3 linked regions of the Ovis aries genome follow. The protein of the gene in region 2 purifies or fractionates together with the protein of the main gene of each other region. This does not show direct contact. Links are inferred from orthologs where the notes say so. Each region holds a gene or a part of one and is shown on either strand. Other genes may lie near its edges.

Region 1 (4,180 bases), on a different chromosome or scaffold from region 2:
AGACACCTTGGAACCAGAAGGTTGAGATTCCCCAGACATCCAGACATCATCCAACCAATCAGAATAGTCACACATTGGCAGCCCTCACCCCAAATTTTGTTTGACATCTGGGTTTGGGTTTTCTTGAGCACTAGCTCCCTCTTGTGCCTGGCACTCTGTAATAAACCTTTCTGTGCTCCCAACTCTGACATTTTGGTTTATTTTACCTCTTTGTGCCACTGGCATGCAAACTTAGGTTGGACATCTATGAGAATTCACAGAATGGAAATTCCCTGGTGGTTGGGTGGTTAGGACTCACTACTTTCACTGCTGAAGGCCCCGGGTTCAATTCCTGAACTAAGATCCTACAAGCTGAATGGAGGGGCAAAGAGAAAAAGGAGAAGAAAGAAAAAGAGAATTAACAGGGCAAAAGAATTAAGCTTAAGGCAACGTGTAATTCTTTTGTCGTTGTTGTTTAGTCGTTAAGTGGTGTCTGACTCTTTAGCCTAAAAATTTCCTACCTAGTAATATCGAACTTCTATTTTTTTGGACTGATAGTAAACTCTAAGCCCAGAATGTTCTAGAAATCACCACAGCACATAAGGTCTTATTTTATTCTTTCTAAAAACAAAGCCATTAAAGTTCAGAAAGGTGTTAGGGTTCCCTTTCACTGAGGCAGAAAAATCAAGTCACTTTCAGCCTGAGGCCTGCGCTCTCCCCACGTGATGCCGCTTTTCCTTTAAACGCCTGCTTACGTGATCTTAGACTAGCACACGGGGAGGAAATGTACACTGTCAGGGTAGAGAGCCCTTTCTTCCCCCACCTTCGCAGGCGGAGGGTTTCTAGCGTTGTCTCCTCGGAAGCCCCAGTTCCTCTGGAGACTCTTTCTCATGTCCTTTGTCGTGTCACCCGTTCTCACTCCTTTCCGTTAGTCGCCTGGACTAGAGCTCCACTAGTACTACAGAATCCCGCTAGCCGGAAGGCGACAGGGACTACAATTCCCAGGGGGCATCACGGCCCCGCCCTCGGCAGCGCGCAGTGCTGGTCGGGGGCTGAGGTCCCACGGTGTTGTCGCCGCGTGCGGCCCTGAACAAGCGCACTACAGGTTCCGTGGCACCACGCGCGGGAGCTAGCCGGGTCGGGCGGGGCGGGTCGGGTTGCGCGGGGCGGGGCGGGGCGGGGCGGGGTGGGGAGGGAGAGGCCGGGCTGGCTGGAGAGTTGGCGGGCGGGCAGAGGAAGGGGGTGGGAGCGGAGGCGATGGAGGGGAGGAGTGGGGGAATGGGGGAGGGAAGGGGAAGGGAGGCGGGAGGCGGGGCCGAGCCGGAGCTAGAGTCTGAGCCGGCGGTTGCAGTGGAGGCGGTGATGTCGGTGCAGGTCGTGTCAGCAGCTGCTGCCGCGAAGGTGCCTGAGGTGGAGCTGAAGGACCTGAGCCCCTCCGAGGCGGAGCCGCAGCTGGGACTGAGCACAGCGGCCGGGAGCGCCATGGCCCCCCCAGCGGGCGGCGGGGACCCTGAAGCTCCAGCTCCGGCCGCGGAGCGGCCCCCGGCCCCCGGTCCGGGATCCGGGCCCGCAGCGGCTCTCAGCCCGGCCGCTGGGAAAGTGCCTCAGGCGTCGGCCATGAAGCGGAGCGACCCTCATCACCAGCATCAGAGGCACCGCGACGGCGGCGAAGCCCTGGTCAGCCCCGACGGCACCGTCACCGAGGCGCCGCGCACAGTCAAGAAGGTATTGGGGCCGGGCTGCCTCTTTCGGAGAGGGAGGGAGGTGGGGAACCGCAGATCCTCTCGGCGCGGCGGCACCACTCTCCACGCCCTCCCTTCTGATGCTGGAAGTAGAGACATCTCTTTTCCCCTTAAACCCGCTCTCTCAGAGATGCCCCCACACGGGCCCCAGTGCTGGGGGGCGAAGACTCCAGGTGGTACGGCCGTACTTCGCTGGGAATAACATGGAGGTAGCGCCCTTCCTTACTACTTGGAATAGGCTGGGAGAGGAGAGGCACCTCGTATTACACCTTTCTGTACTCCTAACCTACTCCCGTGTGTATTTTCCAGACTGTCGGGGAGAAGACCCCGATGGTGTAGAAAAGCTTTACTGCTTCTGAGAGTTCACCCAGTAATAAGGGTTGAAAGAGCTTTTCCGTTTGGACATCTTTTCTGTAAGGAGTAGTTACCTCGCGTTGAGATCCTCAGTTGTCTGGTTTCTGTACAGAAGATGACTCTCTGCCTTTCTGTGGCCAGGCGCTTCCATCTAGCAGTACTGATGCCGTGCCCTTCATTCCACATACTGCAAGATCCTTAGGTTTTCTCTGAAAGTAGAAGGGTAATAGGGTAATGGAGAGATTCACTCCACTCTTCTCTTTGAGGTTTGTCCTCTCAGCTCAGTAGTTGATCACCAGGATTGTTAGACTGTGTATAAAGAGAATGATTGTTTTTATTGGTTCTTTTATTATGGTCCGTAAGTATTAGGAAGAAATGCTTCTACTTTTGGGAAAGGCGATCACTGTCAGATTTTGCTAAGCTGCCAGCTTCTTTCAGATAGTTTTGAAGAGGCAGTAGTCTCAGAACACCAAGGAGTAGATAGATGTGCCTGAATGTTTGATATTCTCAGTATTATCCTTGCAATGGCTGTCTGTGGTGTCTGTCCTCTCAGAAAGCAAATCAGTACAGAGAAAAATGGCAAATATTGCAAAAACAAGTTGTGGATTATCGCTATAATTTCTGAGGTAGTATGCGAACATAGTGATATACTGGGTTTTTCGTTTTGTGAATGATTTATCAGAAAAGCAAGAAAGTGATGTGAAATCTGCACTGTGCAGGACTCAGCTGAGTTGAAACCTTGTATCCAGCCTAACTTTTGATTGTAATAGCCCCCTTATTAAGGTGTAAATCAGAAAACTCTTGCATTCTAATTACTAAAATATAGTGATAAGGTCAGAAGCAAGACTAAAGGAATTTGTTTAATGATGCTTTAGGACAGTGTCTTTCTTGTTTGCATAATGAAACTCCTCTGGGCAGAATTATTGGGGGAAAGAGACGTAGCATGGGCACCATGGCTTCCCTTGTGGCTCAGCTGGTAAAGAATCTGCCTGTAATGCGGGAGACCCTGATACAATTCCTGGGTCGGGAAGATACCATGGAGAAGGGATAGGCTTCCCACTCCAGTATTCTTGGGCGTCCCTGGTGGCTCAGCCGGTAAAGAATACACTTGTGATGCGGAAGACTTGGGTTCAATCCCTGGGCTGGGAAGATCCCCCAGAGAAGAAAACAGCTACCCACCCCAGTATCTTGGCCTGGAGAATTCCATGGACTATACAGTCCATGGGGTCGCAAAGAGATGGACATAACTGAGTGACTTTAATACATTCAAACACACATGAGCACCAAAGCTGGTAGTACCTAGATATGAGTCTGGAAATCTGAAACATTTGTAATAGTTGAGTTGCTTTATAACTTTGGCCAAATTCTGTGATTAAGGGTCTTTTTGTGTAAAATGTACAGATTAAGTCTCGAGTATAATAGTGTTCAACAAATTGCCTTTATTTATTTGACCTTGCCATGCAGCTTGTGAGATCTTTAGTTTACCAGGAATTGAATGCTGGGTCCTAGCAGTGAAAGCTCAGAGTTCTAACCACTGGACTGTCAAGGAGTTCCCCAACAAATGGCCTCTAGAACATGGGATTTACCGTCCAGCAGACCTGGGTTTGAATCCTAGTACCCCTATGAGCTAGCTTTTGGGTAATTTCTAAATTCTCTGAGTCTTAGTTGTCTCTTTTACAAAATGAGGTTGAAGCTTAGAAATATTTGTAGAGGACTTACTGTTGAACTTGGCACATATAATAAGGGCTTAAATTATTGCCATTGATAAGAGTTGATTTTATTTTTTTCTTCCTCCAATCATGGTTTAAGTGCACCACCATGGCTTCCTTTAAAAGATATATACAATTCAATGGCTTCTATGTAAAGCAGTGAACAACACGACAGGCCAGCATATCAGCCTGTTTTTCCTAATGCTAGATGTGTTTCTTGACCATTTTCCTTGTTGCTGAACCACCTTCTTCCTGTTTTTCCAGCATTAAAATGTGGGTCCCATGATTCTAGATTTACTCAGCAGCCTCAAGGCTGTGAGAGACAGGGCTGAGCTTGCCTTACAATGTTAATTGCAACCAAAAAACAGCTCCTCCACTGGAAGTTAAACAGGCGAA
Region 2 (4,371 bases):
ACACGGCTGAGTGACTGAGCACGTCACACATACCAATGATCCATCCTTTATCTATCACTCACTCAACCACCCATCCATTCATATAGCCCATCACCCATCCTACCCATTCACCATCCACTTACCCATCAATCTGCCAATCATCCATCCATCAGCTCACACCCTGACCGTCCCTTTATCACCTCCCGAGCCCTCAGTGGGCCAGCCACCCGTCATCCATCGCTGCAAACCCTCCACCCATCTGCCCCTTCCTTCCTCCTTCCCATCCACCCGTCCCCTCCCTCTGCTTCGTCCCCCACCGGCCACCGTCCCACCACACCCACCGCGCCCAGCTCAGCATGCCTGACGAAGCATTACGGCCCGCACCTCCTTCGGTCCCACCACACGGCAGCCAGGCCCTGCCCCTGCAGGGCAGCCATGATCACGTTGACGTCATAGTTGCCGGTGCCCAGGAGGCTGCGATGGGGGTTCAGCCGGGAGTCTGGGGCCAACCTGAGTGGGAGGTGATCAGGGCCTCCTGAGTTGGGGGTTCCTGAGAAGGCATCCCCCTCCCTCACAGAGCCAAAGCGTCCCAGGATCCATGAGTCATCCAGCCATGGATTCTTCCCTCTCTTCAACCCTTTGCCGACTCATCACCCCCAGCCATGTTCCTCCTGTCCCCCACCCACAGTTCTGCTCAGGCCTTGCCCTCCTCCTCCTGGACCCTCACCAGCTTCCAATCTCACCCCTCCTGGGGGCTCCTTCTACACCCAGCACTGCCCCTGCCCCAGCCGTCCCTGGCACCCCCGTCACCCCAGGAGAGAACCCCAGCCCCCAGCTGTCCCTGGCAGGATCTGGGCCCTGCTGGCTTCCTGGATCCATGCCCACCCCATTCCTCGCAGCCACCTGACCCAGCGCATCTCCTGTGCTCCTGCCCCCCGCCTTCTCTCCAGCTGTCCCCCAGCCCACTTGTCTCTGGGCCCCGCCTCCTTGAGACAAAGGCAACTTTGTTCTGTCTCCGGGCCTTTGGGGGGCAAGGCAAGGGGAGGGGCGGGAGAGGGGGAAAGTTGTGTATTCTTCCTCTGTGTATCTGTTTCCCTGGCTTCCCTTAGGGCAGGGGCTCACAGTAGACTCATCTCGGAGTCTCCAGCAAGGCCGAGCCATGAAAGAGTTGATTGATTCCTGTTCTGAATGATGGGAGGGGGTGAATACATTCTAAAATAATCAGTCTGAGGGCCTGGGACTGGCCTGAGGATGGCAGGGGTGGAGGCATGGGAGGGCTGTGAGCAAGAGATGGGGAGAAAGGGTCATCTGGGGGCATAGGATCACATGGGGGACTGACTGGAGGGGAGAGACTGGAGGCTGAGGGGAGGGTCCAGAAGGCAGTGGGGCCAGAGAGGAGCAGCTCAGGCAGAGAGATAACAAAGAAGTGATGTTTGAAATCCTGAATAGTGAGGCGGCACACTCCAGGCTGCCAAGAAGAGAGAGCCGTGCCAGGCAGAAAGAACAGCCTGTGCAAAGGCCCAGAGGCACCATGTGGGGCTCATTCAGAGACTAGAGGGAATTTGTCTGGAAGCAAGCAGTGAGATACGAAGCTGCAGAGACGGGTGGGGCCACGGCACACAGGGTTTTGGTTATCAGGCTGGGCGCGGAGCCTTGGGGCTTCTGCCAGGGGTGCTGGGGGAGCCCTGGGAGTGGGGGAGGGCAGGTGCAGTGCGGGAGCCCTGTGTAGCCGGGACTGAAGGAGATAAACCAGAAGCTGGGAGGCGGGAAGAGAGTGAGGCTGAGGGCCTAGGTAAAAGGCTGAGGTCAGCGGGGTGAGTAGATGCCTGGGTAACATCTCGGTTTCTGAGTCCCGGAGTCCAGCAGGGCAGGGGATGGGGCAGCAGAAAGCCGCAGGGCTCTGCCCCGGGCCTTGCTTTGCTCTGAGACCCAGGTGGGTGTCCCCGCCTCCGTGAGCCCTGCTTCTCCAGGGGTTGGGGTGGGTGATGGTCACCTCTTGCAGATCTCATCGGCAGCCTCCTGGCTGAAGAGCTGCTGCTGCAGGACGTTGTTGAGGGCATGCACGGCACAGAGCTCCAGGCGTTGCCGTTCGTGGTACACGGAGGGCGGGCTTGGCTGAGCTCCTGGGGCCTGGGACATGCCGTCCTCGGCTCCTGCTTGGAGGGGTAGGGGGAGAAGGTGCTTAGGAGTCTGGGATCTGGAAGCCGAACCTGCCAGCAGGCCCTCGGGGGCACCGTCATTGAGTGGGGGCTCGGGCAGCCTGAGGGGCCCCTGACTCTGGCGATCTCCTGGCAACAGAGTACCTCCATTCCCTATTTCTAGGAAAAAAGCTCTCTCTTCTCTCGCTTAGCAACAGAGGACCACTCCCCCCGCCCCGGCCCCCGCCACATCCCTAAGTGAATGGGTCCCTGTGGTGGTCACCTAGCAACAGAGAACTCCCCTCCCCTGTCCCTAGGTTAACAGGCCTCCTCTCTGGTTACTTAGCAACAGAGGAGCCTCCTCGTACCCCTCCTCGCCCCCTACTAGGTAACCAGGCTCTCCTCTGGTTACTTAGCAATAGAAGAAGCCTCCTCCCCGTCTCTAGGTAACAGGGTCTCTTCTGGTCGCCTAGCAACAGAAGGCTCCCCCCTGTCACCAACCAACAGAGTTCTCTCCTCTTGTCACCTGGCAACAGGGCCCTCTCCCCGGACACCGAGTAACAGAGCTGTCTCCCCGACCTGTACCCCAACCATGGCGCTCGCCCGCTCCGCGGCCTGGAAATGCCCCTCACCCCGCCTGCCTCTCTGTTCCCCCAAACCGGGGGCTCCCGCATCCCCCCGGGCGGCGGCTCCGGGCTCCGAGAGCGCTGGACGGGCGGCACCGCGCTGACTGGGCAGGTGGGACGGACTACAGCTCCCGGCGGCCCCCGCGAGCCGGACTACGATTCCCGGCGACTCCGGCGAGAACGAGAGCTCCTCACGGAACGTCCGGGCAGTGTGGCCCGGAAGTCCGCTGTCGCCCCGAGAAGCCGGGACTACAACTTCCGTCGGCCCTTCGACGAGTCCCGGAAATGTGCCCTAAATCGGTCCTCTCCTCACAGTTCCACGCCTCCTGCTGCTCGGAAGCTTCTGGGAAACGTAGTGAGGAGGCTCTCGCGATAGCTTCGAGGGGTGTTACTTCCCTGTACGTCCGTTCCCTGGGCTGGCGTCATGCCTAGCGTGACGACGCAGCGTGACGTCACGGAAGGGAAAGTGATCAGACAACCAGACCACGCAGGGAGAAGAGCGTCCAATGTTTACTGAGACCAGAGGGATGTATGGGGACACTGAGGCCAGGGCAGCAGTGGGTCGGTGGTGGTGGGAGGTAAATAATGAGATGAGGAAGTCCTCTTGGGAAGGGGGAGGCTTCTCAGCAGAGATGGATCCCCGGCTTGGAGGGGAGCTGGCAGCACCCTGCGGGGGAGATACGGGGAATGAAAGGCTAAGACAGAGAGATGAGGAGAGACAGACACCTGGAAGAAGGAACAGGCCACCGTGGGGACGGAGAAAGACTTAGAGGGAGGGACTGAGACTCAGAAGGGAACAGAGACCCAGAGAGGGGGGCCAAAACCTAGAGGAAGAGGGATAGACACCTGGCGGGTGGAGAGACTCACGTATGTGCTAGAGTCCCCAAGAGACAGGGACACAGAGGCTGGGAGAGGAGACTTGGAGAGAGAGAGAGAGAGAGGGATCTATAAAGACAACGTCGTGGAGAAGAAGGTTAAGGAGACTCAGAAATAAAGATCAGTCGACAGAGACGGAATCAGAACTGCAGACTCAGAAAGCCTGAGACTCAAGCTCCGCCTGGGGCTTGCAGAGAGGGGCTGCTAGTGCCCAGGAGGAGCCTGGCCGTACCCACGAGGCTGCGCCAGAAGGTGGTGACGGTGGCAGAGCCGGTGACAGCGCCTGGCTCTGCGGGGTTCTCTCTGTGCGTGTGCACAGTGAAGGTTTGGCCTGTGGGGCCCGGGGGTCCGCTCAGCTCCACATCCACCACGTGCACGTTCTTGAGGCTAGGGCAAGCAGGGTGGTCAGTCTAGCTGGCCTGGCCCCAGCGCAGACCCCTACTCAGCTCCGCTCACCTGAAGTCAGCCACAAGCACCCCAATCACACGGTCGAAGCCCAGGCTGGGGGCGGCCAGGGCAGCGGCCGCCATGGTGTTGGAGTTTCGGGGGGCGTGGGGGCAGAGCCCGCGAACAGGGCCTTCATAGAGCACAGCGCGAGGCCCCGTGCTGCGCATCGTAGCCAGGGGTCCCTCGAGCCGGAAGCCATCGGGGTGTGTGGCCATGGTGACACGGAGGCTCTGAAAGTGAGAGCTGGGGTCAGGGAGCCTGAGCGTGCCTGTTGGCCGCCTCTCATTCCCGGGGAGTGCAGCGGG
Region 3 (4,315 bases), on a different chromosome or scaffold from region 2:
CCTTTTCTTCCTCGTTCGCGGGTGAAGGGGGAAGCTCCAGGGGTGAGCCGCACCCTTGTATGCCGCCAGGTGGCGCCATTACCTTGCGAGCAGCCCGCGGTTTCTGCAAGGTTGCCGCGGTGCTGGAGGGCCTTTGGACTGCGGGATGCCAGGGGAGGCCTCAGAAGGGTGTAGGGATGCTTGGGAACGAGTACCAAAGCCTTACACAACACAGCCTACAGCCAGTCCTAGGAAGCTTCCGGCGCCCTAGGTAGCCCACTAGCTCACTGCCCCATGGTCAGGCTCTTTGAACCAGAATCTCCTTCCCAAGAGGCAGCGTTTGCCTCTTTGACACCGTAAGAGTGGGCAGAACAGAACCAGAGCAGTGTGGTTTCTGCGCAACACTTTGTGACCTCCTCCACCACCGTCTCCGCTGGGCCTTGCTTGTTTACAGGTTCTTCATGTCGCGGAGCTGATGGGATAGGGCTAAAGATGGTTAAGAGGGTGGGAGAGGAAAAGGGGTGGGGGAGGGGAAGAGAAGTCGACGTGTCCCTCCATCCCCCCACCCCCAAGCGTTTGGCTCTGCCAGCTTCCAGGGAGGCACTAGGGCATTCATGAACTATTCACATGCTTTTACTGGGCCTGGCTATGTGCTACCCCTGTGCCAAGGCCGTGGATAGTACAGATGTGTGTAACACGTTTTTTGTTTCTAAAGGCTTAGTCCAGCTGGTGAGGCAGTGTCAGCTGAGGTTGCTTGTCCTTTGACATTCAAATGACATTGGCTCAAACTTCCACGTCCTGTGGAAAGTCCAATGCTCCCCCCTCCCCGATTTCTGTGAATTACTCGGGGGACAGAAATTTTCAAGGTTACCTCTGGCTCTAGTTTTCTGCCTCGTCTGAAGTTTTAGTCACTATTCTGGTCTTTGTGGCTGTTTCTTTAGTTCCTGCTTGTCAATTCAAATGTGGATAACAGTCCCTTCTTTCAACTCCCACCCCTATTCCAAAACAACCACAAAAATAATGCTGTAACATGTAGCAGAACTTTTAATGAAGTTTTGTGGGCCACAAGGGAGAGGTTACATCACATCACAAACAATTTGAAGTCACATTTCTGAAATGTTCTGAAAAGTTATTTTGGCCATCTCGTCACCCGGGACTTCTCATTAGCCCCACCACCCCACAAAGCTCCCTAGTCCATTGCCTGTCTCATCCCCCTTCCTCCTGTTCCTCCCTTCCCATCCCTCCGCCTCACCCTTCCCTCTATGATTGACTGGGAAGCCAGATCCCTCTCCACTCTGCTGAGTGTTCAAGACTTCCCAGGGCCCTTTTCCTAAATTCCTCCCATCCCACCTTCTTCCTCCCACCTCAGAGACCCGGCAGCTCAACTCTGAAGAAAGAAGTTGTGGCTTGAAGTAACGTTTTCCCCACTGGTTTACAAAATGTTGGGAAGAGTGTGAAATGCTTGCTTCTGGGGCCTCAGAAGTCTTAGTCAGAGAATCCCATGTTCCAGCCGCCCAGCCCCTTGAGGCTGCCTGTTTGAAATAGGTTGTGGAAGTGTCTGGAAGGAGGCACTTCTGCAAGGCTGCCTGTTTGAAATAGGTTGTGGAAGTGTCTGGAAGGAGGCACTTCTGCAAATCTTCATTTTAGGGTTCTCTCCTCTGCCCACTCTTTTTAATTAAAAAAAATTTAAATTCAAATGTAGTTGATTTACAATGTTCTGTTAGTTTCAGATGGTGTAAATACATTTTTTTCTTTCCGGCTGCGCCATCCCGCCTGTAGGATCTTAGTTCCCTGAGTAGGAATCAAACTCAAGCCCCCTACAGTGACAGCACAGAGTCTTAACCACTGGACCACCAGGGAAATCCCGCCTATGCCCACTCTTTCAGGCCCCTCGACTTCCCTCTCAGAAGTATTCGTGTAGCAGAAGAGAGAAAGAGATTGGGGAGCAGAATACGAGATTGATCCATAAGGGTGCCAGACTGGCACTTTTTCTTATTTCTCAGCTGGGGCCAGGAGCTATGCCTGCCCACCCAGGACTCTTTGCCTATATGGCCTGAAGTAGCTTTCATCGTGTGAGTTTGCCCAAACTGTTGGCAGCGTCCAGGGATCAGAGCTGTCTCCTTAGAGAACAGAGACAGAGCCAGCTAGAACAGAGGTGAAAACTCCATATCCCATGAATAGGAAAGCATGTGACTTAGGTTAGCTTATTTGAAAAAAAAAAAAAGAAAAAAGCATAGGTGTCTTTTGGCTTTGTCTGTCAGCCCCAGCTCTGCCATGCATGTTAATGTTCAGGCTGCTAAAGAGCTGGCTGGGGACTGGAGTTCAGCCTCTCTTTTATTCCGCCTGAACCAAAGTAACAGGTTTTCTCTGATACTAGACTCACAGAATTGCCTGCTCCTGCTGTGGACAATGGTGACAACAGGGCCAGACCTAGAGAAAGCAGTAACTTTGCAGTCTGAGCCACAGGAAGATCAACAGACGTGACTTCACTTACCCGAGTGTCCGGCCCAAAGGGAGGCTGGGGAGGCTGGCTGAGGCGAGTCAGAGTGCTTGCACTGAAGGTGGGGACCCAGCACGCCTTGCCCGGGTGGAAAGGCAGTAGGCCTAGGTGGCTCATGTCAGGCGAGAGCCACCAAGGGCATTCCTGGAAACCAGCCCTCTGCAGAGGACATGGGCAGTTGCCATCCCACCCGCTGGGTATGGGCTGCAGATCAAAGCATTCACCCAGTTAGAGTGTGATGACATGACGCTGGTGAGAGCCGTTGCACGCTCCCTCCTCCCTCCCCCAGAGGGCCCCACAAGGCCATGGCTGTGACTGCTTATGCATGAAACAAATAAACATCCTACCCAACCTGGCCCTGGGTCTGGCTACCAGCCTACCCACCCAGCTCTCTGCACTGAGCCTCTATGCTGAGTCAGGTGGGTGAGTCAGGGCTTACTCCCCTGAACTGCACCACCCACACAGACACGGCAGATGCTATGGGGACCCCAGGTTTGAGGACAGCAGGGACCCAAGGACAGGTACACTTGTGTGTGGTGGAGGGAAGTAGTCTCCAAAGGGTGTAGAAATCAGAGGGGGGGCATGCTCTAGAAAGGAGCAGTCTGAGGAGAGAGAGGTGAACTAGGAGATGCTGTCACCACAAGCATGGTGGCCCACCACAGGTGGGCTGGGATTGCTTACTCAAATTCATTCTTCTGTCTACCCCCCTAAATTACACTCCATGTGCATTCATTTTTTTTAAATTCATAAAATCTACAGTGAATGCTGGGCTTCTCTGGTGGCTCAGATGGTAAAGAATCTGCCTGCAATGCAGGAGACCCTGGTTCGATCCCTGGGTTGGGAAGATTCCCTGGAGAAGGAAATAGCTACCCACTCCAGCATTCTTGCTTGGAGAATCCCATGGACGGAGGAGCCTGGTGGGCTACAGTCCATGGAGTCACAAAGTGTCAGGCACTACTGAGCAGCTGACACAGGCACACCATGACTGCTGAAGATGTGCTCAGAGCAGTACTAGATGCTGGGACCACAGAGACAAGTGAAGTGCCGATCCCTACCTGGGAGTGATGGTGGGTGGAGGATGGGAGGGTGAGCAGGAAAGGCTTTATACAGAAGATGCTGCTCCAGCTGACTCTTGACAGATAAGCAGCTGGATAAGCCAGAGAAGGTATCTCAGGCTGAAGGAATAGCCTGAGAAAAGGCAGGGCCCTGAGGCACCCTGGCATATTAGGAGAACTGTAAAGATTTCAGTGTGGGTGGGGCATAGGGGCAGGGCTGGGTGGAATGAGAGCCGCTGTGAGAGCAAGATCCTGCGGAGCCTGGTGAGCTGTGGGTGGGTGGTGATGAACGCGAGGAGGAGAAGCAGGTCAGGTGGAGAGACTGCTGAGATAAGGAGTGAACTTGAGCTGTTTGAGTTTTAAATTTGTGTGCAGTGCACGCATATCCCAGAGGCCCCAGCAATCCTAGGGTGGCACCCTTCACACCTGCCTGCTCCCTGCTGGCCTGGCACACTCCAGAGCAGGGCTGTGCTCTCCCTAGGGCCCCTTCACCTCCTGTGGTACTGGCCCCACTTTAGCCATCTTCCTTCTGTCCCAGAGGTGCCTGATTGTGCAACCCTGGGAGGCACCATAGGTATAGTAAGTGATGTGAAAGGTGCCCTGGGAACACGGCTTCGGATTGCTGGTCTGCCCTGCTGGCCCTGCGGGGACACCCGGAGCAAGACTGCAGGCTGTACCTCTGTGGCTCTGGGCACTGGCTCCCCTGGTGGGCCTTTCTCCTACTTCCCTCAATTCCCTGTTTCCCTCTTCTCGCCTCCTTCCTGCTCTTCTCTGCAATGCC

The links.
Region 1: the proteins of JOSD2 (region 2) and AHCYL2 purify together in Homo sapiens (affinity purification with mass spectrometry; 3 studies listed by BioGRID and IntAct, counting the BioPlex papers as one, with this or other methods). This does not show direct contact. The link is inferred for Ovis aries from reciprocal best matches to the Homo sapiens genes JOSD2 and AHCYL2.
Region 3: the proteins of JOSD2 (region 2) and AHCYL1 purify together in Homo sapiens (affinity purification with mass spectrometry; 4 studies listed by BioGRID and IntAct, counting the BioPlex papers as one, with this or other methods). This does not show direct contact. The link is inferred for Ovis aries from reciprocal best matches to the Homo sapiens genes JOSD2 and AHCYL1.

Annotation. Positions count from the first base shown.
Region 1 is NC_056057.1:94,835,985-94,840,164, forward strand, and holds the start of AHCYL2 (adenosylhomocysteinase 3), read left to right. Parts: upstream 1-1,307; 5' UTR 1,308-1,341; coding exon 1,342-1,704; intron 1,705-4,180. UniProt on the Homo sapiens protein: May regulate the electrogenic sodium/bicarbonate cotransporter SLC4A4 activity and Mg(2+)-sensitivity. On the contrary of its homolog AHCYL1, does not regulate ITPR1 sensitivity to inositol 1,4,5-trisphosphate.
Region 2 is NC_056067.1:56,372,186-56,376,556, forward strand, and holds the start of JOSD2 (josephin-2), read right to left. Parts: upstream 2,870-4,371; 5' UTR 2,750-2,869; intron 2,136-2,749; exon of another isoform or gene 2,133-2,135; 5' UTR 2,119-2,132; coding exon 1,973-2,118; intron 490-1,972; coding exon 364-489; intron 1-363. Other genes in the region: ASPDH (aspartate dehydrogenase domain-containing protein), read right to left, coding at 3,367-3,410, 3,852-4,006, 4,076-4,296. UniProt on the Homo sapiens protein: Cleaves 'Lys-63'-linked poly-ubiquitin chains, and with lesser efficiency 'Lys-48'-linked poly-ubiquitin chains (in vitro). May act as a deubiquitinating enzyme.
Region 3 is NC_056054.1:87,291,464-87,295,778, reverse strand, and holds the start of AHCYL1 (S-adenosylhomocysteine hydrolase-like protein 1), read right to left. Parts: upstream 2,874-4,315; 5' UTR 2,597-2,873; coding exon 2,474-2,596; intron 1-2,473. UniProt on the Homo sapiens protein: Multifaceted cellular regulator which coordinates several essential cellular functions including regulation of epithelial HCO3(-) and fluid secretion, mRNA processing and DNA replication.